Linked DNA regions of Sus scrofa. The protein of the gene in region 1 purifies or fractionates together with the protein of each later gene. This does not show direct contact. Links are inferred from orthologs where the notes say so. Each region holds a gene or a part of one and is shown in the gene's direction. Other genes may lie near its edges. The genes, in order: SMARCA5, BAZ2A, BAZ1A, HDAC2, RBBP4, CHRAC1 and HMGXB4.

Evidence for each region.
Region 2: the proteins of SMARCA5 (region 1) and BAZ2A purify together in Homo sapiens (affinity purification with western blotting; 3 studies listed by BioGRID and IntAct, with this or other methods). This does not show direct contact. The link is inferred for Sus scrofa from reciprocal best matches to the Homo sapiens genes SMARCA5 and BAZ2A.
Region 3: the proteins of SMARCA5 (region 1) and BAZ1A purify together in Homo sapiens (affinity purification with western blotting; 8 studies listed by BioGRID and IntAct, with this or other methods). This does not show direct contact. The link is inferred for Sus scrofa from reciprocal best matches to the Homo sapiens genes SMARCA5 and BAZ1A.
Region 4: the proteins of SMARCA5 (region 1) and HDAC2 fractionate together in Homo sapiens (co-fractionation; 5 studies listed by BioGRID, with this or other methods). This does not show direct contact. The link is inferred for Sus scrofa from reciprocal best matches to the Homo sapiens genes SMARCA5 and HDAC2.
Region 5: the proteins of SMARCA5 (region 1) and RBBP4 fractionate together in Homo sapiens (co-fractionation; 6 studies listed by BioGRID and IntAct, with this or other methods). This does not show direct contact. The link is inferred for Sus scrofa from reciprocal best matches to the Homo sapiens genes SMARCA5 and RBBP4.
Region 6: the proteins of SMARCA5 (region 1) and CHRAC1 fractionate together in Homo sapiens (co-fractionation; 5 studies listed by BioGRID and IntAct, with this or other methods). This does not show direct contact. The link is inferred for Sus scrofa from reciprocal best matches to the Homo sapiens genes SMARCA5 and CHRAC1.
Region 7: the proteins of SMARCA5 (region 1) and HMGXB4 purify together in Homo sapiens (affinity purification with mass spectrometry; 3 studies listed by BioGRID and IntAct, with this or other methods). This does not show direct contact. The link is inferred for Sus scrofa from reciprocal best matches to the Homo sapiens genes SMARCA5 and HMGXB4.

The regions. Positions count from the first base shown.
Region 1 is NC_010450.4:84,184,059-84,187,256, reverse strand, and holds the end of SMARCA5 (SWI/SNF-related matrix-associated actin-dependent regulator of chromatin subfamily A member 5), read left to right. Parts: intron 1-542; coding exon 543-650; intron 651-1,406; coding exon 1,407-1,472; 3' UTR 1,473-2,685; downstream 2,686-3,198. UniProt on the Homo sapiens protein: ATPase that possesses intrinsic ATP-dependent nucleosome-remodeling activity.
Region 2 is NC_010447.5:21,941,485-21,945,310, reverse strand, and holds part of BAZ2A (bromodomain adjacent to zinc finger domain protein 2A), read left to right. Parts: intron 1-198; coding exon 199-264; intron 265-444; coding exon 445-681; intron 682-818; coding exon 819-1,073; intron 1,074-2,924; coding exon 2,925-3,139; intron 3,140-3,412; coding exon 3,413-3,487; intron 3,488-3,702; coding exon 3,703-3,826. UniProt on the Homo sapiens protein: Regulatory subunit of the ATP-dependent NoRC-1 and NoRC-5 ISWI chromatin remodeling complexes, which form ordered nucleosome arrays on chromatin and facilitate access to DNA during DNA-templated processes such as DNA replication, transcription, and repair.
Region 3 is NC_010449.5:65,063,368-65,067,077, forward strand, and holds part of BAZ1A (bromodomain adjacent to zinc finger domain protein 1A), read left to right. Parts: coding exon 1-201; intron 202-3,021; coding exon 3,022-3,164; intron 3,165-3,710. UniProt on the Homo sapiens protein: Regulatory subunit of the ATP-dependent ACF-1 and ACF-5 ISWI chromatin remodeling complexes, which form ordered nucleosome arrays on chromatin and slide edge- and center-positioned histone octamers away from their original location on the DNA template to facilitate access to DNA during DNA-templated processes such as DNA replication, transcription, and repair.
Region 4 is NC_010443.5:79,887,979-79,891,804, reverse strand, and holds part of HDAC2 (histone deacetylase 2), read left to right. Parts: intron 1-2,114; coding exon 2,115-2,227; intron 2,228-3,324; coding exon 3,325-3,442; intron 3,443-3,826. UniProt on the Homo sapiens protein: Histone deacetylase that catalyzes the deacetylation of lysine residues on the N-terminal part of the core histones (H2A, H2B, H3 and H4).
Region 5 is NC_010448.4:88,985,836-88,990,124, forward strand, and holds the start of RBBP4 (histone-binding protein RBBP4), read left to right. Parts: upstream 1-1,256; 5' UTR 1,257-1,541; coding exon 1,542-1,557; intron 1,558-2,124; coding exon 2,125-2,272; intron 2,273-4,289. Other genes in the region: ZBTB8OS (protein archease), read right to left, coding at 640-736. UniProt on the Homo sapiens protein: Core histone-binding subunit that may target chromatin assembly factors, chromatin remodeling factors and histone deacetylases to their histone substrates in a manner that is regulated by nucleosomal DNA.
Region 6 is NC_010446.5:3,025,692-3,030,180, reverse strand, and holds the start of CHRAC1 (chromatin accessibility complex protein 1), read left to right. Parts: upstream 1-1,372; 5' UTR 1,373-1,474; coding exon 1,475-1,621; intron 1,622-1,959; exon of another isoform or gene 1,960-2,112; intron 2,113-2,901; coding exon 2,902-3,028; intron 3,029-3,596; coding exon 3,597-3,715; 3' UTR 3,716-4,489. UniProt on the Homo sapiens protein: Forms a complex with DNA polymerase epsilon subunit POLE3 and binds naked DNA, which is then incorporated into chromatin, aided by the nucleosome remodeling activity of ISWI/SNF2H and ACF1.
Region 7 is NW_018084968.1:1,835,441-1,839,266, forward strand, and holds part of HMGXB4 (HMG domain-containing protein 4), read left to right. Parts: intron 1-1,460; coding exon 1,461-1,542; intron 1,543-2,422; coding exon 2,423-2,487; intron 2,488-3,826. UniProt on the Homo sapiens protein: Negatively regulates Wnt/beta-catenin signaling during development.

The DNA.
Region 1 (3,198 bases):
ATTTTCTTAAGGGTTATTTACTATTTCTATACTACTCTAAATCCTTTCTAGAGCCTGTGTAGATTACTAGTGAGAGATGAGGGGAAACCCATCATAGGTTTCCATGACTGTTTATCCAGAACTGGAGAAAAGTGGCATGTGGTACGTAGACTGCCATAATTCTGGTGGTAATAATACTTTTAAGGGAAAGAGTATATATATATCTCTTATTTAAGTTTTAGTCAATTTTGACCCTCAATATGTGCACTATTTATAATCTTTAAGTTTGGGTTTACATGGCAGTTCTCAGGTATAGACACATGAGGAATACACAACAGTATAGTCTTAAATAATGAAGTGGAAAATGCACAGTTATCTTTTTTTCCCCTCCTAGCATGGATTGTGTATGAAAATTGTTGTTCCTTTTGCTTTTTAAAATTCCACCTGTTGGGGATGTGTAAGTGATGTTCTAATCCTGTTACAATATACCTTGGTTTTGAAATTGTAATAATGAAAACTTGGAGATGGAGAATACAGGCTTACCATGTAAATTTATAACTCAGGAGCTCCAGCGGAGGTGTAACACCTTAATTACCTTGATTGAAAGAGAAAACATGGAACTAGAAGAAAAGGAGAAGGCAGAGAAAAAGAAAAGAGGACCAAAACCTTCAGTGAGTACTCATGAAAAATATAAATATTTTCTTGGAGAACTTAACTTTTTCCAAGAATTTGAATATTATTTGGCTATCAGTGATGTGTTAGTCTGTTTTTGGTAAATAGTATGGCCTGAACTTGCTTAAAAAGTATAAATTAATCTTGATTACCTTGTGTGGGGAGAATCATGTCATGGTGGTAGTTCATAGTATGAGGATTTTGAGAACCTGGGAAGGTCTGTCTGGTGAATGCTAAGAGCCTACACCTGATTTTTAGAATATGTAAAGAAATAGTAGGAAAGCAGTGATCTTTACAGCCTTTACTGTTGACTTCGAAGCTTTGATTTGTTGTCCCAGTGGTATTTTAGCAGTGCTAAAGCAAAAGTTTGAGAACAAAAAAACCCTCTTTTTTTATTTAATAATAGTTTATAAGTCATTGTTAAATAAACATCTCTAGGTAAGTCTGGTATTTATGTAGCCTTACAAAATATTTCTCATTACTGCTTTGTTTTGATAGAGGACATATGTTATACATTTGTTTGGTGTACTGGTTTACATTGCTAATTGTGAATGGTTCATTTACTTTGTTATCAGCATTAATTTTTTTATTGTGTCAGTAAAATGAGTAGACAAATACGATTACTTGGAGAATTAAGGTTATTCTGGGTAAGAAAATCTGATAGCTGTTACTCAGTTGCAGCTATTAGTCTAGCGCTGTCATGTGTCTTTTAAGAGTACCCTTGTGATGAAGATATTCCTTGTGTTTGTTTATAGACACAGAAACGTAAAATGGATGGAGCACCTGATGGCAGAGGAAGAAAAAAGAAGCTGAAACTATGAATACATATTTGTTTCATAATCACTAACTTTAAACTAGTAGTTCTTTAATTTACGGGTCTTCATAAGATGTACTGTACAATGCTCAGTCGTTATGTCATTCAAAGACATCAGGTTCATCTGTTTACCGAGCTAGAAACATAGTATGTAGTTTCACTTTTTTAAATGCAACAGCTGTGCTGAAATTTTTTTATCATTAACACTTGAAGTAATAAAATAGGCTTCATTTATTAATAAATGTTTCATTTGATTTATTTTTCTATTATAGTTCCATTTGTGAAGATTGTGACTTTTTGTTTATCAGCTATAATTTCTACACTTGTAAGGCTTAAAAAAGAAGCAAACAAGTTTAAAAAATTGCAAATAACATTTGTCCCTTCAGTCTTCACTTAGCTGTGTAATTGTTTTAATTCACTTTGCCTTTGCAGAAATTTGGGTATCTCCTTTGTAGTGCTGTTGAGTCTCATCTGGGAAGATTATGTAAATTGCATTCTCCTTGCTTATTATATGGGTAGAATGGGAAAAAAAAAAGGCAAGACAACTTCTCATTAAATTCTGTGCATATTTGTGTTATGCTTTGTTTCTGTAGTTGGTTCTGAGGTGAATACGCTCTGTTCTGTTTGGAAGAATGGCCTTTTAGTTGTATAGCCAAAGACATTTAGTATTTTCTGGTTCCTTAAGGTGTTACTGTACCATTTTGTAAAAGGAATATTATTATTATTTTTTTTAATTGTTTGGTAAATATTTTGACAAATTACCTTCTGAAGCAGCCACTACTTAGAAAGATAATGTCAAGACTAAGGTGATTTTTTCTTTTTTAAAAAGACCCAGCCAAAATAAGGTGTGAATTTGTCATACTGTTAAATTGAAATTGGTAACAAAATGTATCCCATTCCAGTTTACCTTTTTTGGGTTGTAGGGTAATTGAAAATTTTATTTTATTATATTTAAAATAATTTCTAAGTGTAAGCAGCAAGACTGACTATAATTCCAGTTTTTATTTTCTATGGACAGACTTGATAAACTGGAGACCCTGAAGCAGGATGACCCAAATTGTAGTGTCAGGATTTTAGCTGTACCAGAGGCCTTTATGTGCTACACATAATTTGTATAAAGTTTTATATGTGCAAATTGGGTACATAAACAGTTCTCCATTTTTCTAAGGGAATGCAATAAATGTAGCATCGTGAATAAATATAACTTTTATAATCCTTAAGTGGTCTTTTCTTTCCATTTCTTTTAATTTTCTTTTCTCATTTGCTATCTGTTTTTTCCTTAATTAGATTCCTTCCTCTCAGATTTCTATCAGTTGCGTTCATCTGCTGACACATAATTGAGATTTTTATTTATAATACTTTTTCTGTAGTATTAACTAATACTGCTTTTTAAAAGAGGGGTTGTTGCCATAAATATCAAGCAAAATACAATGGTTATGGTTATGGCAATTTGTGGAGTAAATTGTTTTGTGTTCCCCTTAAATTGATTTCTGTATAATCTTAGATTCTTAAAATAACAATTATGATCTATTGTAGCAAAATTTGAGGAGTGGTTACTTTTTCCATGAAAAGAACTGTCTTAGAGCAGTTGCCTTATTTTGAAAGAAATAGTTGGAACAACATAAGGCTGAAGAAAACTTTACAGAGGTCACAAAAGAAGAAGCAGTATTTTAAAGAGGAAGAAGTTACTGTGCATGTGTGGTTGGGGTGAGTGCAGGGGATGGGAGGAGGGA
Region 2 (3,826 bases), on another chromosome or scaffold:
TGGGGGGGCTTGATTTAGAGATTTGGGTTTATTCAAGAATAATGCGGGCATCTTCAGGGTGAGAGAATTGATCCATTGCCAACCCCTCATCCCATCTCTCACCTCTCCTCCCCAGCACCCTTGTCTGTTTTTGACTCCTAGCCCAAGCAGTGATGGTTTCAGAGTTTGAGGAGAAATGACTTCCCTTATGGTTTACAGGCCAGAAACAAGCGGAAACAAGAGACCAAGAGCTTAAAGCAGAAGGAGACTAAGAAGAAATCCAAGGTAGGTACATGAACACACAAGCATAACTTTGAAGTCACCAAACTGATGTTGCAAGACATGTGAGTTGGTCTTGTTTTATAGTCATGTTTCTGGGTCTAAGGGGGGAGGATGGGAACCAGGGAAGGGTAGTGACTTAAATCTTTATGGCACTCTTGGTTCCTCTCTCCCTTGTGTGGGTAGGCTGACAAGGAAAAGGTAAAAACAAAGCAGGAAAGACTGAAGGAGAAAGTCAAGAAGGAAAAGAAGGAGAAGGTAAAAATGAAAGAAAAGGAGGAGGTAGCCAAAGCCAAGTCAGCCTGTAAAAAAGCAGATAAAATGTTGGCTACACAGAGGCGTTTGGAGGAACGGCAGAGGCAGCAGATGATTTTGGAGGAGATGAAGAAGCCCACAGAGGACATGTGTCTGACTGACCACCAGGTAGTGAGGGGAGAATAACAGATCCTGGAGGGGCCGTCTGTGAAGACACTTCTGTTAAAGGAAGAACCTCCTAGGTATCCAGGCTGTAGCCTTCTCGTATGTTTGACAGAACCCCCCTACCACTTTTATCCCTGCAGCCCCTGCCTGACTTCTCACGCATCCCTGGTCTGATCCTGCCTAGTGGGGCCTTCTCAGACTGCTTGACCATTGTGGAGTTCCTGCACAGCTTCGGCAAGGTGCTGGGCTTTGACCCTGCCAAAGATGTACCTAGCCTGGGGGTCCTGCAGGAGGGACTCCTGTGTCAAGGCGACAGCCTGGGCGAGGTTCAAGATCTTCTGGTGCGGCTCCTGAAAGCTGCACTCTATGATCCCGGCTTGCCCTCCTGCTGTCAGGTGAGGGCCCTTCCTGGGCAGGTTTAGAGGGCCTGGGATCCTCTGCTCCTCTCCATTTTGTTTTCTCTTTAAACACAGGGAACTCCCTCCTCAAAATGATTAAAGCGAGTGAAGGGAGATATACGAATAATTCCCTACTTAGAACGGTACTAAAGTAAAATGCATTCAGTAGAAACTACTTCACATTTTCAATTTTCATCTTTTCCTGGGCTAGAGAAATGCAGTACGATGGTCTTTCATGATGCTGGGCAGTGGCAGCAAGTCAAGTGGCCCCCACCCAGTCAAGCACGCATTTACCCTTATACTTAGAACCATTCTGTGCCCATGCAGCCACTCTGTTTTTCACTTTTCGTACAATATTCAATAGATTACAAGATAGTCCACACTTTATAATAAAATAGACTTTATGTTAGATGCTTTTGCCCAACTCCAGAGGCTATGTAAATGTTCTGAGCATGTGTAAAGTAGGGTTGGCTAAGCTATCATGTTCTGTAGATTTGATGCATTTCCTTTTTGCTTCCTCCCCCCTTTCTTTCTTTCTTTCTTTTTTTTTTTTTTTTTTTTTTTGTCAGCCCGTGGCATACGGAGTTCTCAGGCCAGGGATCAGATCCGAACTACAGTTGTGACATACGCCACAGCTGTGGCAACACTGGCTCCTTTAACCGACTGTAACTGGGGTCAGGGGATGGAACCTGTGTTCTGGTGCTGCAGAGATGCCACTGATCCCGTTGTGTCATAGCAGGAACTCCAATGCATTTTCTCTCTTTTTTTTAATGGAATTTTTATTTTTCCTTTTATGGAAGTTCCCCGGCAAGGGGTCAAATCAGAGCTGCAGCTGCTGGCCTATGCCACAACCTCAGCAACACTGGATCTGAGCCACATCTGTGACTTACACCACAGCTCCTGGAAACACTGGATCCTCTAACCCACTGAGTGAGGCCAGGGATCCAACTCATATCCTCACAGGCACTATGTCAGGTTCTTTTTTTCTTTTTTTGGCCACCCGCGGCATGGCTCAGCAGGTTAAGAACCCAACATAGGGAGTTCCTGCTGTGGCAAAATGGGATAGATGGCGTCTTGGGAGCACTGGACTTGGATTCAATGCTCTCCCCAGTGCAGTGGCTTCATTTCCACTCAGTGACGATGGGAACTCTCCCCAATGCATTTTCAAATTAAAATATTTTCAATTTGAAGGAGTTGCCATTGTGGCTCAGCAGTTAGCAAATCTGACTAGCATCCATGAGGATGCAGGTTCGATCCCTGGCTTCGCTCAGTGGGTTAAGGATCTGGTATTGCTGTGAGCTGTGGTGTAGGCCGGCAGCTACAGCTGATTCAGCCCCTAGCCTGGGAACCTCCATATGGTGAGTGAGGCCCAAAAAGGAATAAAATAAAAAAACTCTTTTTCAGTTTTTGATACGTTTACTGGGACATTATCCCATAGAAGTCAGAATGATCTGTATACTACATGCTAGCTCTTCTTGTAATTTATTGCCTTATTCCTAGATTAGTTCTACTCATTTCTTCAAGATTTTAGGTCTTGACTCTTATCATTCTCTCCAGGAACAAGTGGAGGAAGACCTGTAGTTTCTTTCTGTTTCTGTTTTACAAATTTTTTCCTTCTACTTCTTTTTCTTTCTGACTTCCCTCTGCTTATTTTGTTCATTTAACTTTAATCTACTCCTTTTCTTTTGTACCTTTCCTTTTCCTTCTCTCATCTTCTCTTAGCATCTTTCATTCTTTTCCTATCTTAACCCCATAGCTCTTCCTACTGTATTTTCCTATTCCAGATTCACCCGACTTGAGTCATTCCTCTTTTTTCTCTTAACTCCTGTTATGCTCTCCTCCAAACAGTCCTTAAAGATCCTGGGGGAGAAGGTGTCTGAGATCCCACTGACAAGAGACAATGTGTCTGAGATCCTGCGCTGCTTCCTTATGGCGTATGGAGTGGAGCCAGCCCTCTGTGACAGCCTCCGAACACAGCCTTTTCAGGCCCAGCCACCCCAGCAGAAGGCTGCTGTCCTGGCCTTCCTTGTGCATGAGCTCAACGGCTCTACCCTCATCATCAAGTGAGGGGCTGGGGTGGGGGTGGTTATTGTGTCCCTTGATTGGAATGGGAGCGGGGAGGGGTTTAGCCATGGGTGATGTGTGTCCAGTGCCATGCTCTAGACATGCTGGCGTGACTTGGGACTGAATCTCATTTCTTCCCTGGGAGAGCCTAAACCTCTGCCATTCTTTTATCCTAGGCTCTAGGATGAAACTCCCTTTATCCTTGAGCCTCCCTTCTTTTGTGTGTGTGTTGCCACCTCTCCCTCAATATGCCATTCCCTCTTCCCCTGCAGTGAGATTGACAAGACTCTGGAGAATATGTCCAGCTACAGGAAAAACAAGTGGATTGTTGAAGGCCGGCTCCGAAGGTAGGGGTGGGACAAGAGGGTAGGGCCCAGGGAGAGGAGAGAAGGGGTAAAGGGGAAAGCATAGCCTGGACTTTTGCTTGGAACTCAAAGTCCTCAGCGCTTCTCCTGGGGTTGGGAACTTACCCCAGGGTTCAGGATGGCTTAGATTTGAGGTGTTCCTTTTGTGGCAGCATCATGTTCCTCACCACAGTTTCTTGTCATCTGTCTATCTCAAGACTGAAAACTGCTCTGGCCAAGAGAACTGGGCGACCTGAGATAGAGCTGCAGGGGCCAGAGGAAGGCCTGGGGCGGAGGCGCAGTTCTCGCATCATGGAGGAGACCAGTGGCATGGAAGAGGAA
Region 3 (3,710 bases), on another chromosome or scaffold:
TCGTGGAACTACTCAGTCCTCGTAGAAAACGTAGAGGCAGGAAAAGTGCTAATAATACACCAGAAAGTAGTCCCAACCTGCCTAACTTCAGGGTCATTGCTACAAAGTCAAGTGAGCAATCAAGATCTCTAAATGTTGCTTCAAAACTTTCTCTGCAAGATAGTGAATCCAAGAGAAGAGGCAGGAAAAGACAATCTACAGGTATGAAGACCTCTAATTTAAATTATTCTTTTTAAAAATTTTTATTATAGTTGATTTACAATGTTCTGTCAATTTCTGCTGTTCTGCGAAGTAACCTAGTTACAGATATTTATACATTCTTTTTCTCACATTATCCTCCATCATGTTCTATCACAAGTGACTAGATATAGTTCCCTGTGCTATACAGCAGGTTCTCATTGCTTATTCACTCCAAATGCAATAGTTTGCATCTACAAACCCCAAACTCCTAGTCCATTCCACTCCTTCTGCCTCCCTCTTGGCAACCACACGTCTGTTCTCCATGTCCATGAGTTTGTTTCTTTTCTGTAGATAGGTTCATTTGTACCATATTTTAGATTCCAGGTATAAATGATATCATGGTATTTATTCTTACCTAAGAAAATTGAGTGATTTGGAAAGGTTGAATGTTGAGATACTTTGGATCATTTTCAAAAGACTCACTATTCAGAATTACTATGGAGCAACCTAACCTGAAGCATAATATTCAAGGAAGGGGCAGCTATTTGGGAACTAAAGATAAACTGCATTACTAGTAATTCTACTAATGTAGCAGAGTAGTTGTTAAGAAATTCGCCAACAGCGAGTTCCGTTGTGGCTCAGCAGGTTACGAATGTTACAAGTATCCATGAGCCTGTAGGTTTGATCCCTGGCCTTGCCCAGTGGAATCCAGTGTTGCTGTGGCTGGTAGTTGCAGTTCTGATTCGACCCCTAGCCTAGGAACTTCTATGTGCCATGGCCCTAAAAAAAAGCAAAAAAGAAAGAATGTTCTGAGGTGTTTTGTTTTTGTTTTTTGTGGGTTTTTTTCTTTTTGCCTCTTCTAGGACCAAACCCGCGGCATATGGAGGTTCCCACGCTAGGGGTGGAATCAGAACTGTAGCTGCTGGCCTTCGCCACAGCCACAGCAACGCAGGATCCGAGCCGCGTCTGTGACCCATACCGCAGCTCACGGCAACGCCGGATCCTTAACCCACTGAGCAAGGCCAGGGATCGAACCCGAAACCTCGTGGTTCCTAGTCGGATTCATTAGCCACTGAGCCACGACAGGAACTCCTACAATGTTCTGTTTTTAATGGAGAGATTGGCCAATACTTGCACAGGCTCAGCTTATCACAGTATAACATGTTTCATTCTCTTCCACCTTTTCTTCCTTCAAAACACACATACTCATCATCACCTCGATGAGCTACTTCTGGTAATTTGGTAAGTCTCCCATCTAACACACTGAATCTGGGGCAAGGGAGAGTTGGAACAGTAATATTGCTAAGGAGTGATGACCAATGATCTTTTTTTTTTTTTTTTTTTAAGGGGAGTCAGCAGGAGCCCTTTTTAGTTCCCCACCCTCATGATAGCTTTTGCTGAGGGGCCACTGCTAGCACCCCACTTGCTCCCCTCCCTTTGGCCTAAGACGGCAGGGCAGTGCAAGGGCAGTATGGGGGCACTGAAGGAGCACGCCACGACTCCCCATTCCCAGAATCATCATCATCATAACACTCGGCAGACCAACTATCTTTTTAATTCTGATAATTATTGTTCATAGTAGTATTTATCCATATAATAATGCCTTTACCCATTTATCTCTCTCTTTTTTTTTTTTTTTTTTTTTTTTTTTTGTCTTTTTGCTATTTCTTGGGCTGCTCCTGCAGCATATGGAGGTTCCCAGGCTAGGGGTTGAATCGGAGCTGCAGCCGCCAGCCTACGCCAGAGCCACAGCAACAGGGGATCGGAGCCGCATCCTCGACCTACACCACAGCTCACAGCAACGCCGGATCGTTAACCCACTGAGCAAGGGCAGGGATTGAACCCACAACCTCATGGTTCCTAGTCGGATTCGTTAACCACTGCGCCACGACGGGAACTCCATACCCATCTATCTCTTCAATCCTATCTTCCCTTTTCTTTAATGCCAGTAGTAATAAAACTTTGATTTTTTTAAAAAATGACGTTAACCAAAAAATGCTACTACTGTTCTTTGAAGAATTTTAGAGAGTTTGTGTTGCATTATTCAAAAACGTGACTGGGATTTCCTGTGGGTTTTTTTCTTTTTGCCTCATTTTACTATAGTCCAAGACATATTTTTAATAAAATGGAGTAAAAAAACAATCCACAGATTTTGTGTTCTAGAATTTCCTTTTTTTGTTTCTCACCTGTGCCACGTGGAAGTTCCTGGGCCAGAAATTGAACCCCTGCTCCCGGAGCCACAGCAGTGATAATGCCGAGTCTTTAACAGCTAGGTCACCAGGGTACTTCTAGAATGTCCTTTTGTATTACACTCTTTACAGTCTGTTCCCAGTGAATGTTTATTTCAATTGGAAACTTTTAATATCAAAAGGAAATAATGTGTGGTTTCCAAGGGGGAGGGAGTGGGTGGACTGGGAGCTTGGAGTTAATAGATGCAAACTATTGCATTTGAAGTGGATAAGCAATGAGATCCTGCTGTATAGCATAGGGAACTATATCTAGTCAATTGTGATGATATAAAGGACATGATGGAGGATAATGTGAGGAAAAGAATGTATATATGTGTGTATGTGGCTAGGTCACTTTGCTGTACAGTAGAAAATTGACAGCACTATCAACCAACTATAATGGAAAAAGTAAAAATCTAAAAAAAAGAAAGGAAATAATGAATTTTTGGTCTAAATTTATATGTCTCAGCACGTAAGTTAGTTTAACATCTCAGTGGGTAGAGTATCGGTTTTCTGGTTGAATTTAGTTTTTATTTATATGCCCTGTTTGGCTTGTGGTGATCAAATATTTTGCTTGGTTATCACCTAATAATTAATACAATTCTTTATTCAGAATCATCTCCTATGACACTGAATCGAAGGAGTTCAGGCCGACAGGGAGGAGTTCATGAATTGTCTGCTTTTGAACAACTTGTTGTAGAATTGGTACGGCATGATGACAGCTGGCCTTTTTTGAAACTTGTTTCTAAAATCCAGGTAATATTACTAGACTTTATAAAATTATTCATGTATATATCTGATTTAGTCTACATGGCAACTCTGAGGTAGTCAAAGTACTTATTTAGTCACTGTCTACTTAAGAAAAAAAACTTGGCAAGTTGGTTCCTATATTGAAAAAAATGGAGTTAGATAGTCAGCTCAGTCCCTTCTAGTGCTGTGACTGATTCTTTTGTTTTTGCTTTTAGATAACTTTACTTTTAAATGTTTATGACTAGTAGGAAACTTCACTAAATAGGAAAACAAATAGAGATACTTGCTTTTGTTTTGGCCAAATAGTACAAATGAGATGTGGAAGAGAAATTTCCTCTTGATAGAAGTTTTAAAAGAAAAATAACACATTCTTGGAAATGATTTAAAATTGAAGAATCCTGTCATGGCTCAGCAGGTTAAGGACCTGACTAGTATCCATAAGGACACGGGCTCAATCCCTGGCCTTGCTCAGTGGGTGAAGGATCTGATGTTGCCATGAGCTATGGTGTAGATCACAAACGTGGCTCAGATCTGGCATTGCTGTGGCTATGG
Region 4 (3,826 bases), on another chromosome or scaffold:
TAGGTCCTTGATGCTTTGTAACTCTAGTGGGCTTTCCATAGCTAAGAATTCATTGAGACCAAGCTGCTTTTAAGAAACTGTATATATGTGCTGCCACTCTGTAGGCCACAGCTTTATTGCTTGGAAGGTACTTTCCTGAAGTCATAGCCTCTGAATTGTGATAAATGCAGAGGAGTGTCCCCGTGCTTTATTGCATTAAGGAAGATGGCTTTCCCTTTAAATGACCATGTCTATGTTTGAATCGTTTTCAGAGGAGAGCTTGTGTTGAAAATGAAGAGTTAATTAGAGAGGTGTGATATCAACAAAACAAGTAGTAATAGAAACAGTTATGTTATAAAAATGAATGTTCATCCTGGACTATTGTCAAAAATATGGAAGAGAGAAGAACCAAAAGTTTCTGAATTCTTAGTTTCCATTAAACAGAAAAAGGTGTGTGTTTAGGCAGGATCTTGAAAGAATTTTTGATTTAGAAGATGAATTAATGGCATTCTTTATCCCTAGTTTTTGTTATATGAACTTGTCTAAATGATTAACTTCAAACCATTAAAATCAGTTTGTCCTAACAAAATTTTAGAATTCCTTGCTTAAAAACTAGAATTAGTACTGAAAGTGATTTCTAATAAAGACTGTTGTAAAAATCGCCCATTACATTAGAAAGAGAGTGTGTATTTAATTGGTATCCTTGAAATTTGATAAACAAAAATCCAGAATTTTGGTGTTACTTGATTTAAAATCTTACATGTAAGTTTTAAGACCTTGGAATATAAGATGTCATAAAAAGATAGGTTAGGAATTATCACCTTTTTGTTGTTGTTTTTGTCTTTTTAGGGCCGCGCCAGCGGCATATGGAAATTCTCAGGCTAGGGGTTGAATTGGAGCTACAGCTGCCAGTCTACATCACAGCCATGCCATACCCAAGCCTTGTCTGCAACCTACACCACAGCTCATGGCAACACTGGATCCTTAACCCACTGAGCAAAGCCAGGGATTGAACCTGCATCCTTATGGATACTAGTCAGGTTCATTAACCACTGTGCAACTGCAGGAACTCCAGGAGTTATCACTTTCTAATCATGAAGAATGAGACAAAGTATCCTTATTACCTTAAAAAATGTCCTAAATATGCTGTCGTAGCAAAACTTTACTTAAAATCCAAATTTCAGTTGCCAAAATTTCTGTTATTAACTATGATATTGGATATACAGAATATTTTAGCCAGAATAATACCAACTATAAAGATTTTCTGGAATGGAATTTCCTGGCGGCTCAGCCAGTTGAGGATCTGGTGGCTCAGTCGATGCTCTGTGGGTTCTGTCTGTGGCCTGGGGACTTATACATGCTGTGGATGTGCCCCCCCCCCAAAAAAAAGAATTTCTGGGACACCAGTGAATCATCCCAGAAGCAGTATTTGCTGTAAAATTTTTAGATCATACTGATGAAACTCAGAGGATTTACCTTGAGCATCTGAATTTGCCAATGATTACTAAAAGCAGATATCATTAAGGAACAAAATTTTTTTATAAGTGAGTAAAAAGTATTTTATTTGGGTTGCTCCTAAATAAGAAAGTTTGGTAAACTAAAGATCGGAAAAGCTTGCTTACCTTAATCTGTGAGCAGACATAATGTATTAATGGAGTAATTGGCATGTAAAAATGTGCATAGTATCTTTTTTTTTTTTTGTCTTTTTGCTATTTCTTTGGGCCGCTCCCATGGCATGTGGAGGTTCCCAGGCTAGGGGTCGAATCAGAGCTGTAGCCACCGGCCTACGCCAGAGCCACAGCAACTTGAGATCCGAGCCGTGTCTGCAACCTACACCGCAGCTCACGGCAACACCGGATCCTTAACCCACTGAGCAAGGTCAGGGATCGAACCCGCAACCTCATGGTTCCTAGTCGGATTCGTTAACCACTGCGCCACGACGGGAACTCCGTGCGTAGTATCTTGGTAGAAAACCAATACAGTTTGAAAGTTGTAAAATCTAAAATCCTTATTTAAGATTTTAAATAAAGCTTACTTAGGTGAAAAATGCCTTCTGATGATGAACTGTAAAAATTTAGATAGTTCATGAAGATTCTTTTGTTAGTATTGTTCATTTTGTCTCTTTTCTATTTTAGGTGATATTGGAAATTATTATTATGGACAGGGTCACCCCATGAAACCTCATAGAATCCGCATGACGCATAACTTGCTGCTAAATTATGGCTTATATAGAAAGATGGAAATATATGTGAGTATGCTTTTTGGTAAAATATTCACTGATTTTTTTTTTTTTTTTCTTTAAACTGCTACTTTGAAACTTTGTTTTCAAAGTTAGAGGGCATTTAGTAGATGAAAAGTTACAGAAGAAAACAAACTCCTCTTTTTGTTTTATTCTTCAGAGAAAACTTGAGAGTTTGGGACCTGTGGTCTCTTTTTTTCCCTCTTCCTTCAACCATTTTAAAAAGCAGTTTCCCTCCCCCAGGTTTTCACATATCTGGAAAACAACTCAATTTATCATAGTAAATATTTTTATTACAATAAATATTGACCTGTCTGTGCTTCTGAAGAGTTGACCTGAGGCTGTTACAAAAGAATTAGGTAGAAAATTAATCCTACAGATATTTGTTGGCATAAGGAACATTGTGTTAGTGAGCAAACAAAGTATTGATTTTGTAGAAAAGATACAGTATATATAAACAGATAAGAGATGTAACAGTTCTTATCTATGGGAAGAAAAGAAAGACTTGAAGCAGTTACTAATGTTGTGCATTATATGTGACTTTGTTTCTTTCAAATATAGACATTTGGAGAAGAGTTGGATAAGACCAATCAGGAAGCCTTGTGGAAGAAGTGTCATAAATGAAATTACCCTCCTAGGAACAAGGATCATTAGGATAGTCAAAGGAAGAGAGATTAGAACAGACTATAGAGAATGAATCCATTCTGTCTGAATGAGTCTCATCCTTACTGAAGTTTATTGGTCGTTGATGAAATTGCTGGATATAGAGCAGAAGGTTAATAAAGATAATGTGAGAAAGGAGAGTGTATGAACATGGATTTGTCTTGAGAAGAGTTGACTTATTTCCACTAAAATAAAAGGAGTGACTAATTCATAGTTGGTGTTAGACCTCCCTAATCTTTTTATAGGAATATGAATTATCTTTAGCTATGATTACTGTTTCCTAAAACACACATGTATAAATATAGATTAGCTTTAGAATTTTATCTACTTTGTCCTGACAGACCTAATTCTTTTTCGAGAGTATCGTTAGGGGAAATTGTATACTTTGTATTTGATATAACCAGTTGTAATTCTGCAGTTCTGACATTTATTTTTCTTCACAGAGGCCCCATAAAGCCACTGCTGAAGAAATGACAAAATACCACAGTGATGAATACATCAAATTTCTGCGTTCAATAAGGCCAGATAACATGTCTGAGTATAGTAAGCAGATGCAGAGATGTACGTTTCTGTGTTAAAAATATACATTAGTAGTGATAAGTATAAATGAGTACTTTTAGAAGCTTATAATTAGATTTTTCCAAATCTAGGTATTTTGTCCTGATCTATTTTAATTATTTATTGATTTGAAAAGTCAGTGTAATAACACCAAAACTACTTAAGTAAAACAACCTATCTGAAGCCTATTGGTCCACCAAACTACCAAAGCTATTTGGATGTTCTCTGCTTTGTTTTGGTTCCTTGTTAACTTTGGGATAATGGATATCAGTAGGGAAACCTCACTCTCCAGCTTTTAAAAAAATTGATTGTACTTTAGCCTAAGCCTGGTGAGTATACCTCCTACCTATTTGTGTGCTTTAGTTAATCCGAACTATTCCAGAAAGT
Region 5 (4,289 bases), on another chromosome or scaffold:
TAAATAGTTGGATTCTATACTGAAGACAAGGGGAATTTAATGAAATATTTTAAGCAGGGATATTAGAGTCAGATTAGTCCTTCCCAGACCACAGCCACCTTTAGGGATGATAGCTTAAGGTTTATATAGAACTTCAGAGTCTGCACTACACTTTCACATTTATTTTTATCTCAATTATCCCTCACATGAAGGAACTGAATGCAAAGAAAGGTTATGTGATTTGCCTAAAGTCACTTAACTAAATATGGCAAAACCAGGTCTTTTTACTAACACGATACAGGTAAAACACCAAGTTAGAAGTTCCCTACTGAGAGCTTTCAGTCCCCTAACCTAGCCACACTCTTAGGAGACGACAACTCCGCAAACGCTTGAAAACACGGTTGTGTTTAGAATTAATACACCAATAAAATTCCCACAAAGTAAGCGTGAATAGGCACACGTAGAAAAAGTTCAAAAGACTAAATGTGGAAGCCCAGATTTCCGATTCAGACCGGGTGGCTTTTCCCTTCAGCATCCGCGGGACAAGCACAGAAGAGACAAACAGGGCTAAAAGGGAACGTGCCGGAAGTACCGTAGGGGACAAAGTGGAAGGCGAGGCCAGAAGCCCCAGGTAATGAGAGAAGTGAGACACCTACTCACACTCGTACTTCCGATTGACTGGAGGATACTTGGCCTTGATCGCCTTCTGCTCCTCAGTCAAATTGTAATCTCTAAAATCTTCCCCTTCCAGCGCCATGATTGTGCTTTTGGACCCAAACTCAGCTTCCGCCCTTCTTCAGCTGGACTTCGGCCCTGACTTATAACTTCCGCTCTAGACTCCGCCCCTTGGCACACCCTTAAAGGACCAGGGCTCCATTCCCTGGGAGGTACTTAATCCTTCTAGACTTCCGTTCTGTGTCCCAGGGTTTGGAGCACATCATTAAAAGTCGAAGGACCCACTTTCTGCTCTTGCTTAATAGTTCTTCCTACGACTAAGGAAACAAATAATTTGGAGGACGTGGAATAAGGGACACGAATTAGACACCTTTCGATCTGAATGATAGAGGCCTTTTCTTGCCGCCTAGCCCCACAATAGATAACTAGACCCGGAAGCATCCTACATTTTCCCATCTAAAGTACTACTTTGAAGGGGTCGCTAGCTTAACACCCTTCACGAAAATGGCTGCCCCCAAAAGCGTGCGGACTAAACCTCTCACGTGACCCCGGGCGGGTGCACTTCTACTACTCCCGCGCGCGCGAGCGCGCGCGCGTGATCGGAGGAAGTCGGCTTGGGGCCGTGTGGGGGCAGGGGCAGAGCGCGCGCCTGGGCCTGGAGGCAAGCTGCTCCGCGCGTCTGGATAGGCTGCGATCGCGGCTTCCCCGCCCACACCGACGTTCGGCGCACTCCGATTGGCCGATGTTGGCGCGAAGGTGCGCGAGTCGGCCCTCACGCAGGGGCAGCAGGAAACAATAGAGGCCGCGCGCGCAGAAGGAGCGCTCGCAGCCTCCCCGCCCCTCTCGCAACGCTCTGCCCCAGGATCCCCCCGGCTTGCCTGTACGCCATGGCGGACAAGGAAGGTGAGGGTGCCGGGGCCGCCCCAGGAGGGCGGGAGGAGTCAGGCTTGCGCCGCGGCCTCAACGCGGCCTAACGGTGGGGGCAGGCCAGACTCTGCCTAGGGCCGTCCCCGCCATCGCAGGCGTGAGGAAAAATCGCCCCGCGGGGCGGGCTCATGGCGCGCCAGCCCCTCTGGAGCGGAGGCCCGGCGCAGCGGTGTGAGGCTGGCCGTGGTGGCCTCGGGGGGGGTGTTTGGTCCCTCCCGCGCTCCCCGTCGGTCTACCTGCCTCTCTCCGGGTCCTCCCGGCCGCTCTCCCTACCCGCAGGGGTCGGTGCTCGGTCTCACCGTCGGTTCTGTGCGCTCGACGGCGGGCGCCGTCGCCCGAAGGGCTAACGGAGTGTCTGGTCGGGATTACCCGAGCAGTTCCCGCCCGGCGAAGCTGGAGAGCGGTGGTGGTGCCTGCGCCTCCGGGAGATCTAGACTAATCTCCATTTCAGAATCAGGATTCAGGAGCCGTGACGGTAGCTTTGGAAGTGTTTACTCGGTTTCCGTTTGTGGTCGCTAACTTAATTTGTTCTTAATTTTTTAGCAGCCTTTGATGACGCAGTAGAAGAACGTGTGATCAACGAAGAGTACAAAATATGGAAAAAGAACACCCCTTTTCTTTACGATTTGGTGATGACCCATGCTCTGGAGTGGCCCAGCCTAACTGCACAGTGGCTTCCAGATGTAACCAGGTGATAGGAATCTCTCGAATGCTGTTTTGTTGTGTCCTCAGTGTAGATTTCTCACATTGATTTTCCCTGTTTTCCTCTCTCCAGTCACCCGTAGAGGACACGTGATCAAAGCCTATTGGTGACATTTTTTTCCTAGGCCAGAAAGTAAGGCAAAATGTAAAATTATTTTGCAGTTTAGCATATAAGAGAGAACATACTGATGTTTTCTTTTTATTTACTTGTTTTTATTGAGGTACTGATTTACAATGTTGTGTAAATTTCTGCTGTACGGCAAAGTGATTCAGTTATGTTTTTAAAGTACAGCTGATTTTCCATGCTTCTTCGGTTTCTGTTGTATAGCAAAGTGACCCAATCACAGTTTCCTGTGTACACTTTTTTTTGGATATATATTCTTTTCCATTATGGTTTTCCTAGGACACTGAATATAATTTTCTTTGTTATACAGTAGGATCTTGTTTATTACCACTTTCGTGTAGACTAGCTTATTACATCTGCTAACCCCCACCTCCTGCTCCCTCTCCCAACCCCCTTGGCAACCACAAATTTATTTCCTATATCTGAGTCTGTTTCTGTTTTGTAGATAGGTTTGTCATATTTTAGACTCTCCAATATAAATGATATTTGTCTTTCTCTTTCTGATTTCACTTAGTATGATCATCTAATTGCATCCAGGTTGCTGCAAATGGCATTATTTCTTCCTTTTTACGGCTGAGTAGTATTCCATTGTATATATGTACCACATCTTTATTCATCTGTCAGATTGTTCCCATGTCTTGGCTATTGTGAATAATGCTGCTGTGAACATAGCGGTACATGTATCATTTTGAATTATAGTTTTGTCTGGATATATACTGGGGAGTAGGATTGCTGGGTCATATGGTAACTCTATCCTTAGTTTTCTGAGGCATTTACATACTGTTTTCCATAATAGCTGCACCAGTTTGCTTTCCCACCAGCAGTGTGGGAGATGTTTCCTTTTCCTAACACTGAATTGAATAGTGGGATTATAGCTGTAGTTGACCAAATGGTAATGTAAAACTTGTCAGCTTTCAGAAACTATCAGGATGAGTTCAGTTTTTAACATCAAAATGTTTGAATCTCGGCAGTCAGTGGTATTTTCTAGTTAGTTAATGCAAAGGTAAATGTGACATGGTACCTGCTTTCAAGTCTAGTGAATAGGCAGGTATAATTATGAAAGTGGCAAAGATAAAATGATCAGAGAAAGGAAAATTATCTCAACTTGGAATATCAGGAAAGGCTTTCAGTGGGAAGTGACAGTGTGAAAAGGAAGGTGACTTTAAGTAGTATAAAGCTTTAACAAACTGAGCGTGCCTGGGGGAATAATGGATTTTTTATTACAAAACTGTTGGTGTTCAGAGTAACAGCTGAAAGTTATATGTATGCTAAATAACTAGGTTCCTTCAGAACTCAGGTCTTTTGAGTCAAGATATTTGTAAAATGTGGTTGTTGGCCTATGTTTCAGCTCAACAAGTAATAGAAATTTTATAGAAATTTCATTGCCAACTTAATGAGCATGCTACTTTCGTAGTAGCTTTTTAAAAATGGGGAAATCTGGAGTTCCCGTTGTGGCTCAGCAGTAACGAACCCAACCAGTATCCATGAGGATGTGGATTCAGTCCCTGCCCCTGGCAGTGGATTAAAGGATCCAGTGTTGCCGTGAGCTGTGGTGTAGGTCGCAAATGTGGCTCAGATTCAGAGCGTGGCTGTGGCTGGCAGCTGTAGCTCTGATTCAGCCCCTAGCCTGGGAACTTGATGTGCTACAGGTGTGACCCTAAGCGAGCAAAAAAAGTGGGGGAGGGGGGAGTCCTGTCCTACATATGTTAATAAGTACTTAGGAATTTAGAGTTGGAAGCTGCTTTATCATGACCAGTAGTTCACATTATTCAGCTGATACTCAGAATTACTTGAGTTCAGGGAAAGTGGCATCATTTCTGTCAGTTCTCAGTAGTTCAAACCACCTAGGAACTTGTGGCAGAGTACTTGAGAAATAGTTGGT
Region 6 (4,489 bases), on another chromosome or scaffold:
CAAACAGCACCACGGTTCTTTCACTCTTACTCCATAACACACTGGCAAGCCCTGCTGGCTCTATCGTCAAATTAGATCCCCTATCACCGCTTCCACTCGGGTCTGACTCACTGTCTCTCTCCATCCCCGGAACCGCTTCCTAACTGTGCTCTCTGCCTGCTTCCGCTCCTGCCCCTGGACGATCTATTCACACACAGCAACTTGAGGATTCCTTGTAAAACTGAAGGGGGACCCCCTTACTCCCCCCAACCCTTTTGGAAGGAATTCTGTGATCTACAAAGCCCTATCTCATCTGGCCCATGGCTACTTCCTATCATCCGTTCCCTAGCTCACTTCACCCCAGCCACACCTGCATCCCATTTCATCACCTGCCATCACCTTCTACTCTGCAATTTCTTTGCTTCCACCCTTTCAACCTCCCCATCCTCACCACTCCCCTCCGGTCTATTCTCCATCAATAGCCAGGGGGATTTTTAATAAAATTTAAGACGGGAGGTCCCGACGCGGCTCAGCTGAAACGAATCTGACTAGCACCCAAAAGGACGCGGGTTCCAGCCCTGGCCTGGCTCAGTGAGTTAAGGATCCCATGTTGCTGTGGTGCAGGCCGGCAGCTACAGCTCCGATTTGACCCCTAGCCTGGGAACTTCCATATGCCCCAGGTGAGGTCCTAAAAAGACAAACAAAAGCCCCCCCCCAACTTAAGAGACATATCCCCTCATCCCTCTGATCTCTTTCAGCACTTCCCATTTTCCTTATTATTATTTTGTTTTTTAGGGCCACACCCGCGGGGCGTATGGAGGTTCCCAAGCTAGGGGTCCAATCGGAACCGTAGCCGCCAGCCTACACCACAGCCACAGCAATGCAGGATCCGAGCCGCGTCTGCGACCTACACCACAGCTCACGGCAACGCCGGGTCCTTAACCGAGTGAGGCCAGGGATTAAACCCTCAACCTCCCGGTTCCTAGTCGGATTTGCTTCCGCTGCGCCACGACGGGAACCCCCATTTTCCTTCTTCTACAATCCAATAGGACCCGGCCCCAGGCCGCCTCTCCGCCTTCATCCCGCACACCCCGGGCGCAGAGCGCGCCTCCCGAGCTTTCCGGAAAGGCTCCTCCCTCCGCGCCGTTGCTGCTGCTCCTCTTCCCAGCAAAGCGCCTTCTCATCAACAGGGCCGTCCGCGCTCCTCACTGCCCAGCCCCCTCCCTTCCCCCCGCGGTTCCCAGTCCTCTCCTGCCTACACGGTATCTGCCTCGACCTTCAGGGAGACGCCTCCCCGGCCCCCGCCCCCGGCCCAGCCGCCCTTCCTTCCGCCTCGTCCGCGCGCGGCATCACGGGGCTTGTAGTCCGCGCCCGGGGCCGCGCCTCCCGACACTACAACTCCCACGGGGCAGCGGGACGCCGCTCCCGCACCAACCGAGCGGGCCGGCCACCTCGCGGCGGGTCGGGGCTGCCGCCGCGGGGGCGGGGCGCAGAGATGGCGGACGGGGTCGCGGGCAAGGACAAGTGCGGGGAGCCTCGGCTGGTGTCGCTGCCCCTGTCCCGCATCCGGGTCATCATGAAGAGCTCCCCCGAGGTGTCCAGCATCAACCAGGAGGCGCTGGTGCTCACGGCCAAGGCCACGGTGAGGCGGACCGCGCGGGGAGGAGTGAGAAGCGGAGGGCGACAGTGGGGGCCGCCCGGGACCGTTGCGTCCCGCCCCGCCCTCCGAGCCCGGCCGAGTCCCGCCGCGCTGCCCAGTACCCCTCGGCCCGCGCGCCGCCCGCTCCCCTGCGCGCGCCCGCGCGCTCTCCTGGGCGCGGCCTCGCTGCCTTCCGCCGCGCGCTCCCCAGCTCCCGCGCGCCCTTCGCCCCGCCCCCGGGCGTCAATCCCGTCTTACCCCGCGCGCCCTCGCCCCGCCCACTCCGTTCCCGGCCTCCCCCGCGCGCCCAGCGCCCCGCCCACCCCCCCTCCTTCGGCGTCTCCTCCTCCCGAGTTGTCGGCCCCCAACCCCAATCCCTCCCCTCTTGTCGCTTCCGGCCGCTTCCGCTTTCGTGGCTTTGGGCTCCACCCCTCGGACGGTTGAGCGAACGGGCCCGCGCCTTCCTCCCAGTCTTCGGGGCCGCACGTCCCCAGGTCAGAATTAGCCTTTCCAGGGCCGTGGTTTTACAGCCGGAGGTGCTAGCCCCTCCCCGGTCTTTTGATTTGGCGCGTGGTGGGCGTTCTTGCCCAGGGCCAGGTTTCAGCTGCACGGTTTCCCTCGCTTTCACGTTCCCTAGAGTGGCTTCCGGCCCCTGCTGGTTGCGCCCAGTGTCCGGTGTCCCTACGGTCAGGGTGAGGGCGGTGGGAGGTCACGTGGTCTTGGGATAGTTGTGCTTTCGGGTCCAGCTTCGTTCTGTAGGTGTTAAGGAATTGAGGAGTTTCGCAAGCACTTCTTCCATCCCTTACTAACGGAACTAGGTGGATTTAAAATAGAAATTCCCAGAGGCTCAGCCCAGGGCTCAGTCTGGGCAGAAAGGGAAGCTGATCGTTTTTTTACCTTTAGGTTGTTGACCGTAACGGTTGTAGGCGGACAGCCTGGAAACACTGTGTTCAAACGGAAGTGTGTTCCTCAGCCACACCGAATTTTTGAATGGTCTCTTGCCCTTTTTAACTCCAGAGGTTCGTCATTAAATATGACTCATTGTTGAATCACTTTTGATTATTTTTCATAAGTTATAAATCTAAAGTAAACTTTAGGGAGACGCCTGCTTCCCTGACAACTTAATTCAGCCTTTGTTTCCTTTCTGACCGCGTAGTCCTTTCTCGCGTGATTTTCTGTAATTTGGGAAACCGAGATAATCTGCAGTCATCGAAATGAGTGTAATTAAAAATGAAGGTCTGTAAGTTTTCAAAGCACACCTTTCGTTTTTCATTTTGTTTTAGGAACTCTTTGTTCAGTATCTAGCCACCTATTCCTACCGACATGGCAGTGGAAGAGAAAAGAAAGCTCTCACTTACAGTGATTTATCAAACACTGCAGAAGAGTCGGAAACTTTTCAGTTTCTTGCAGGTATTTAGACTTTCAAACATTCTGCTTAAAAAAAATGCTTAGCAATTTACGCTTTTTTCTCTGCTCTTTTTTCTTCTTGCGCTGAAATAGACACTTGGCTGTTTTCTCTAGGTGCCAGAGTTTCCCACGACCTGGCATGAGTCTTAGTTTTGGCCGTTTGAGTATGTTTGTAATGTGATTCACCTGGACCAAGAAGCCAGCACTCTCCCTACAGGGTGTTTGTTGGCTGGGGCGTGGCAGCCCTTCCCTGACGCCTCCTTAATTGGTCCAGGAAACAGAAACTCAGAGTTGTTGTGCAGCAGTAGCTGTGGGTCACAGCTAACAAGAGCTCACGGGGATCCTTGGGGCAGCCACCCTGTGCGGGCTGGGTTGAGCCGTGGGCACCAGCACCCAGAAGCACGCGGTTTGCTTCAGTGGAAGGGAGGCAGGTTTGCAGGGCTAGTTTCCTGCTGTTTACCCAGAATTGTCGTCTGAACTTTGTTTTGTCTTGGAACCTGTTTAGAGGTCAAAGCAGGAACTGGGACATTTTGAAATTTACATTACTGATGCTAGCTTTATGTTTTTTAAGACATATTACCAAAGAAGATTTTAGCTAGTAAATATCTGAAAATGCTTAAAGAGAAGAGGGGAGAAGAGGAGGAGAATGACGACGACGACGATGAGAGTGATGATGAAGCGGAATCCTAAGCCAAAAAGAAATGCGTTAGTGACCGGCCGGGGAGCACGGCTCCGGGATGAACACCTTTGCTCTGAGCAAGCGTCTGCTCACTCTCGAGACACCCCAGGGACACCACGTTCCTTCCTGGCTGAGATGGGGCGTGAGGTGCCTCTGCTGTAAATAGCCCAAAGCAGAGCGTCTCTTTCCCAGGCCCACGCTGCAACCGGAGTGGGGGTCCAAACAAGGGGCTTCGAGCTGGGGTCACAGCCAGTCTGCAGCTCTAAGCCGTTGAGGCCAAGGCAGCTTTGCTTAGCTTTGTAGCTTACAGATAGATTTTGAAGAACTTCTAAATATCAGTTGTATAAATTCACATGTGTATATTTTGAAATTAGTTTTTGTAAACAGCCAGATCCGGTTTTAGCTAAAATACGTGGTCTATGGGTAGTATGTTACATCTGAATTTTTGTATTTCAAGAAAATTTGTTTGGCATTGTATTTGTTCAAATATTGCATTTTTTTAAACTGTAAAGAAATAACTTTTTAAATTAAAAGCTAGACTTTTTACAGTAAAGTGTTTTATGGAACTAGTTTTATTAAAACCCTTTATTATTCTAATGCCTTGGTTATTCTGAGACATTTGTGAAATATAAAAATAAGCACTTTCTCTTACATTTATTCCTGAAGAAAAATTTTAAGCGAAATTATTAAGTCAGATACAATAAGAAATAGTACTTCTGCATAGTGTATTTTTCTTTCCTTTTTTTTTTTTTTTTTGTCATTTTAGGGCCACACCTGAAGCATGC
Region 7 (3,826 bases), on another chromosome or scaffold:
TTGTTGGTTTGTTTGGGCCATAAAGTATGACCCAGGAGGCAAACAGAAGTTCCCAGTAGCTTTTAAAGCACCAAATGGTTATGTCACTGTAATAACTGCAGGGCCAGAAAAGCAGAGGAGGAGATGAAGGGCCGACCATCCTATTTTGATACTTACAGATGAGGTTTGAAATAGTAACTTTTTCTATAAGGAAGCAACATATTTTTTTTTCCTTTGGCCTATACTGCGGTAGCCCTGGAAGTCAGGCTTCCTGGATTGTAGCCATTCTAGTGTACAACTGGCATAACTGTGGCACCCAGGCAATCACTATTTTTCTGAATTTCCTTTTTCTCATCCTCAAAATGAGAGGTTTGGACGGGTGCCATGTGATGCCCCTTTTCAGGTAGGAAAACTTAATTTTTTCCCTCAGTCTATGGATAATTGTAAAATGGAATGCACAGTAACATATAATCTTTTGTTTATATATCACTCATTGACCTGACTTTAAAGGCATATTTGGTTTTTGTTTCTCAAAAATCATACCTTGCTTTTGGAATTGTCAGAATACAGTGAAGAATAACATACTTCAAGCAGTTTCTTGAAGTGAAAGAGGTTTGTCTTATATTAACTACCAGTGAATCATCTTCAGTTATTTATTTACTTCTCACCTTGGACCACAAGGATGTGAATAATAAAGTAATGAGAAACTACAAGTGACAGTCAAAGCAGGATCAGGAAAATTATAAGACTGGAAATAAAAACCAGAGGAACAGTATGAACATAAATTTGGCTCTGGACTTTCTGGCCCCAAAGTAAAGAGAACTTATGTGGTTCTTTTACAGAAGATAAAAAATAGACAACCTGTAGTTCCCATCGTGGCTCAGTGGTAACGAACCCAACTGATACCCATGAGGATGCAAGTCCAGTCCCTGGCCTCGATCAGTAGGTTAAGGATCCGGCACTGCCTCGAGCTGTGGTGTAGGTCACAGATGCAGCTAAGATCCTACGTTACTGTGGTTGTGTAGGCCAGCATCTACAGTTCCAATTTGACCACTAGCCTGGGAACTTCCATATGCCTTGGGTGCGGCCCTAAAAAGGCAAAAAAAAAAAGAAAAGAAAAAGACAACCTAAGAGAGAGAAAGATTTTCCTAGTGTTTAATTCTAACAGAAATATGTACCATGGGATTGTATGTGGGAAGAATGAGGGGCTTTGCAAATAAGTACCTCCAACAGCCTGAAAAACCCAAGAATAAGTTAGCATGTGGTTTTTACATTCTAAAAGTAAAATTGATACTTATCTCTAAGTCATAAGTAACACAGCTTAAAAATCAGTTATCCTGTTTAGGAAAGCCAGTTGGTAGTTTAGATCTCTTGATGAAAAAGTGCAGGTACCTTTTCTGTTTTGTTCCCACAGAGGCAGGGTTACTCAACTTTGTGTTCTAATTAAGTCCTGTCCTGTTGTGTTTTTCTGTGGTGCTTAGCCAAAAAAGAAGAACATGTCAGCCTACCAGGTGTTCTGTAAAGAGTACCGCGTGACCATTGTGGCTGACCATCCAGGCATAGGTAAGAACATTTCTCATCTTTCGTTTTTTTACTTCCCCTTTGTGTCTCCGAAGCAGTGCAGTTCATTCAGTCGGTCAGCAGGCACACTTCTTCCCAAGCTTGAAAAGAACTCCAAACTCATTTCTTTCCTCAGCTGTGCAAGTCATTTTAGATTTGTGTCTTCGTTCACCCCAGCCATAAAGCACAGCACATAAATATGCAGTGTTCTACTTCCAAGATTCCACAGGAATCCTTAAACTGCCCTTGTTTAAGAGTGAGCTCACATATTGTTCAGATGGGTCTGAACCTTGGACCCGTCATGTAACCTTGGACCCGTCATGTAACCTCTACGAGTCTCACTCACCCAGTGTGTGAAACTAGCCTCCCGGCCCTGTCACCAGCGTTGCGGTGAGGCACGCCACGTAAGGCAGGAATGCACTCGCTGTTCACGTGGAAACACAGCATTACGCATCTGGAAGATCACATCTGAGCTGCTCTAGGGAAATTCCACTTTCTTTCCACGCTCTCAGAAACTTGGTAAAAATCTAACATCTTTTATCAAATTCTATGTAACTTGTTTTCTTTAACCTAAGTCGATAAGCGCTGCTTTGTGGGATCAAATTAAAAGACACCATAAAGATGCTTAAGGAATACATCCTTAGAGAGTAGACGTGTGAGAATTTGAGCCTGTCTCATGACACCAGAACAGCCCCTTCGTTCTAGAAAAGAATCAGGGAAAGTTAATGGGCTTTGGTTTAGTTTTCTGAAAGAATCTTGTGCTATTTAAATCTGATCTTCAAAACCCTTTTCCCAGTTTTTGCTCTTATCAGACTTCCATTTTATGTATTTATGGTTAAACCTTTATTGAGTTTATTTGTTTGTTTTTACTCTTTTATGGCAGACTTTGGGGAACTTAGTAAAAAACTGGCTGAGGTGTGGAAACAGTTGCCAGAAAAGGACAAACTGGTAAGTACACTTTATTATGGGCATGTTTTCATTGCTTTATGCCTTTCAAAGTATATAATTCTCCTATAGACCATCCCAAACAACCCTGAAAGTAGGAGGAAAAAAATTTCAAGTCAGTGGAAAATGAGCTAGCAGAGGGCAGCGAACTGATTGGTGCCGGTTCACTCAGGCGAGGATTCTGTCGCAGAGAGACTGTCTCTCCTTACTTCATCTAATTTTTCCCAACAGCCTTCCATTTAGCCACAGGATGATCTAATTTGAGCAATGATTTGTGTTAAAAGAGAATCTAGGAGTTCCCATTGTGACTCAGCAGCAGTGAACCCAACTAGTATCCATGAGAATGCAGGTTCAATCCCTGGCCTTGCTAAATGGCTTAAAATATCCAGCATTGCTGTGAGCCAAAGTGTAGGTTGCACATGTGTCAGGTCTGGCATTGCTGTGGCTGTGGTGTAGGCCGGCAGCTGCAGCTCTGATCCGACCTGTAGCCTGGGAACTTCCATGTGCCAGGGGTGCGGCCTTAAAGAAAAAAAGGAAGAGAGAATCTAAAGTCTACTACTAACACCTACTGGTCAGTCCTAGTGTGAGAACGGAAGAAAGTGGTCCACTTCATAGTCACAGCAAATAATAAAGCATGGAACAGTGTTTACTGGGTAAGTAGGTTCCCCATCATCATTCTCCTCAACCATCACCAACTAATACGCCTTCATATCAAAAAGCTAATAAGCCAGTGATGAGTAGTCATATCTGTATCATTCATAGTCACTTTAAGATGATATGAAGGTGGAGTTCCCGTTGTGGTGCAGTGGTTAACAAATCCGACTAGGAACCATGAGGTTGTGGGTTCGATCCCTGGCCTTGCTCAGTGGGTTAAGGATCCGGCGTTGCCGTGAGCTGTGGCGTAGGCCACAGACGCAGCTCAGATCCTGCATTGCTGTGGCTGAGGCGTAGGCTGGCAGTTACAGCTCCGATTCGCCCCCTAGCCTGGGAACCTCCATATGCCGTGGGAGCGGCCCTAGAAAAGGCAAAAAAAAAAAAAAAGATGATGTAAAGGTGGTGCAGGAATTAGAATTACCGTCTTGCTTTAAGGTACAGTTCATCTGGGTGAAACAACATATAATTTTTACCCAAATAAGTTTTTGTTTTCCATTTCATTTTTATCCTGCTATCAGTGTTGCGAGCCAGCAGGTCAGAAGAAATATATATATTTTTTTAATTTAGAAGAAATATTTAAACCCCTGGACATTAGGCTGAGCCAGTTGTTTCCTCTGTGATTTTACATTTCGACTTGGAGTGACCTCAGAATCGGTGCTGCCATCTGACCATTAGCACTGAGGGATGT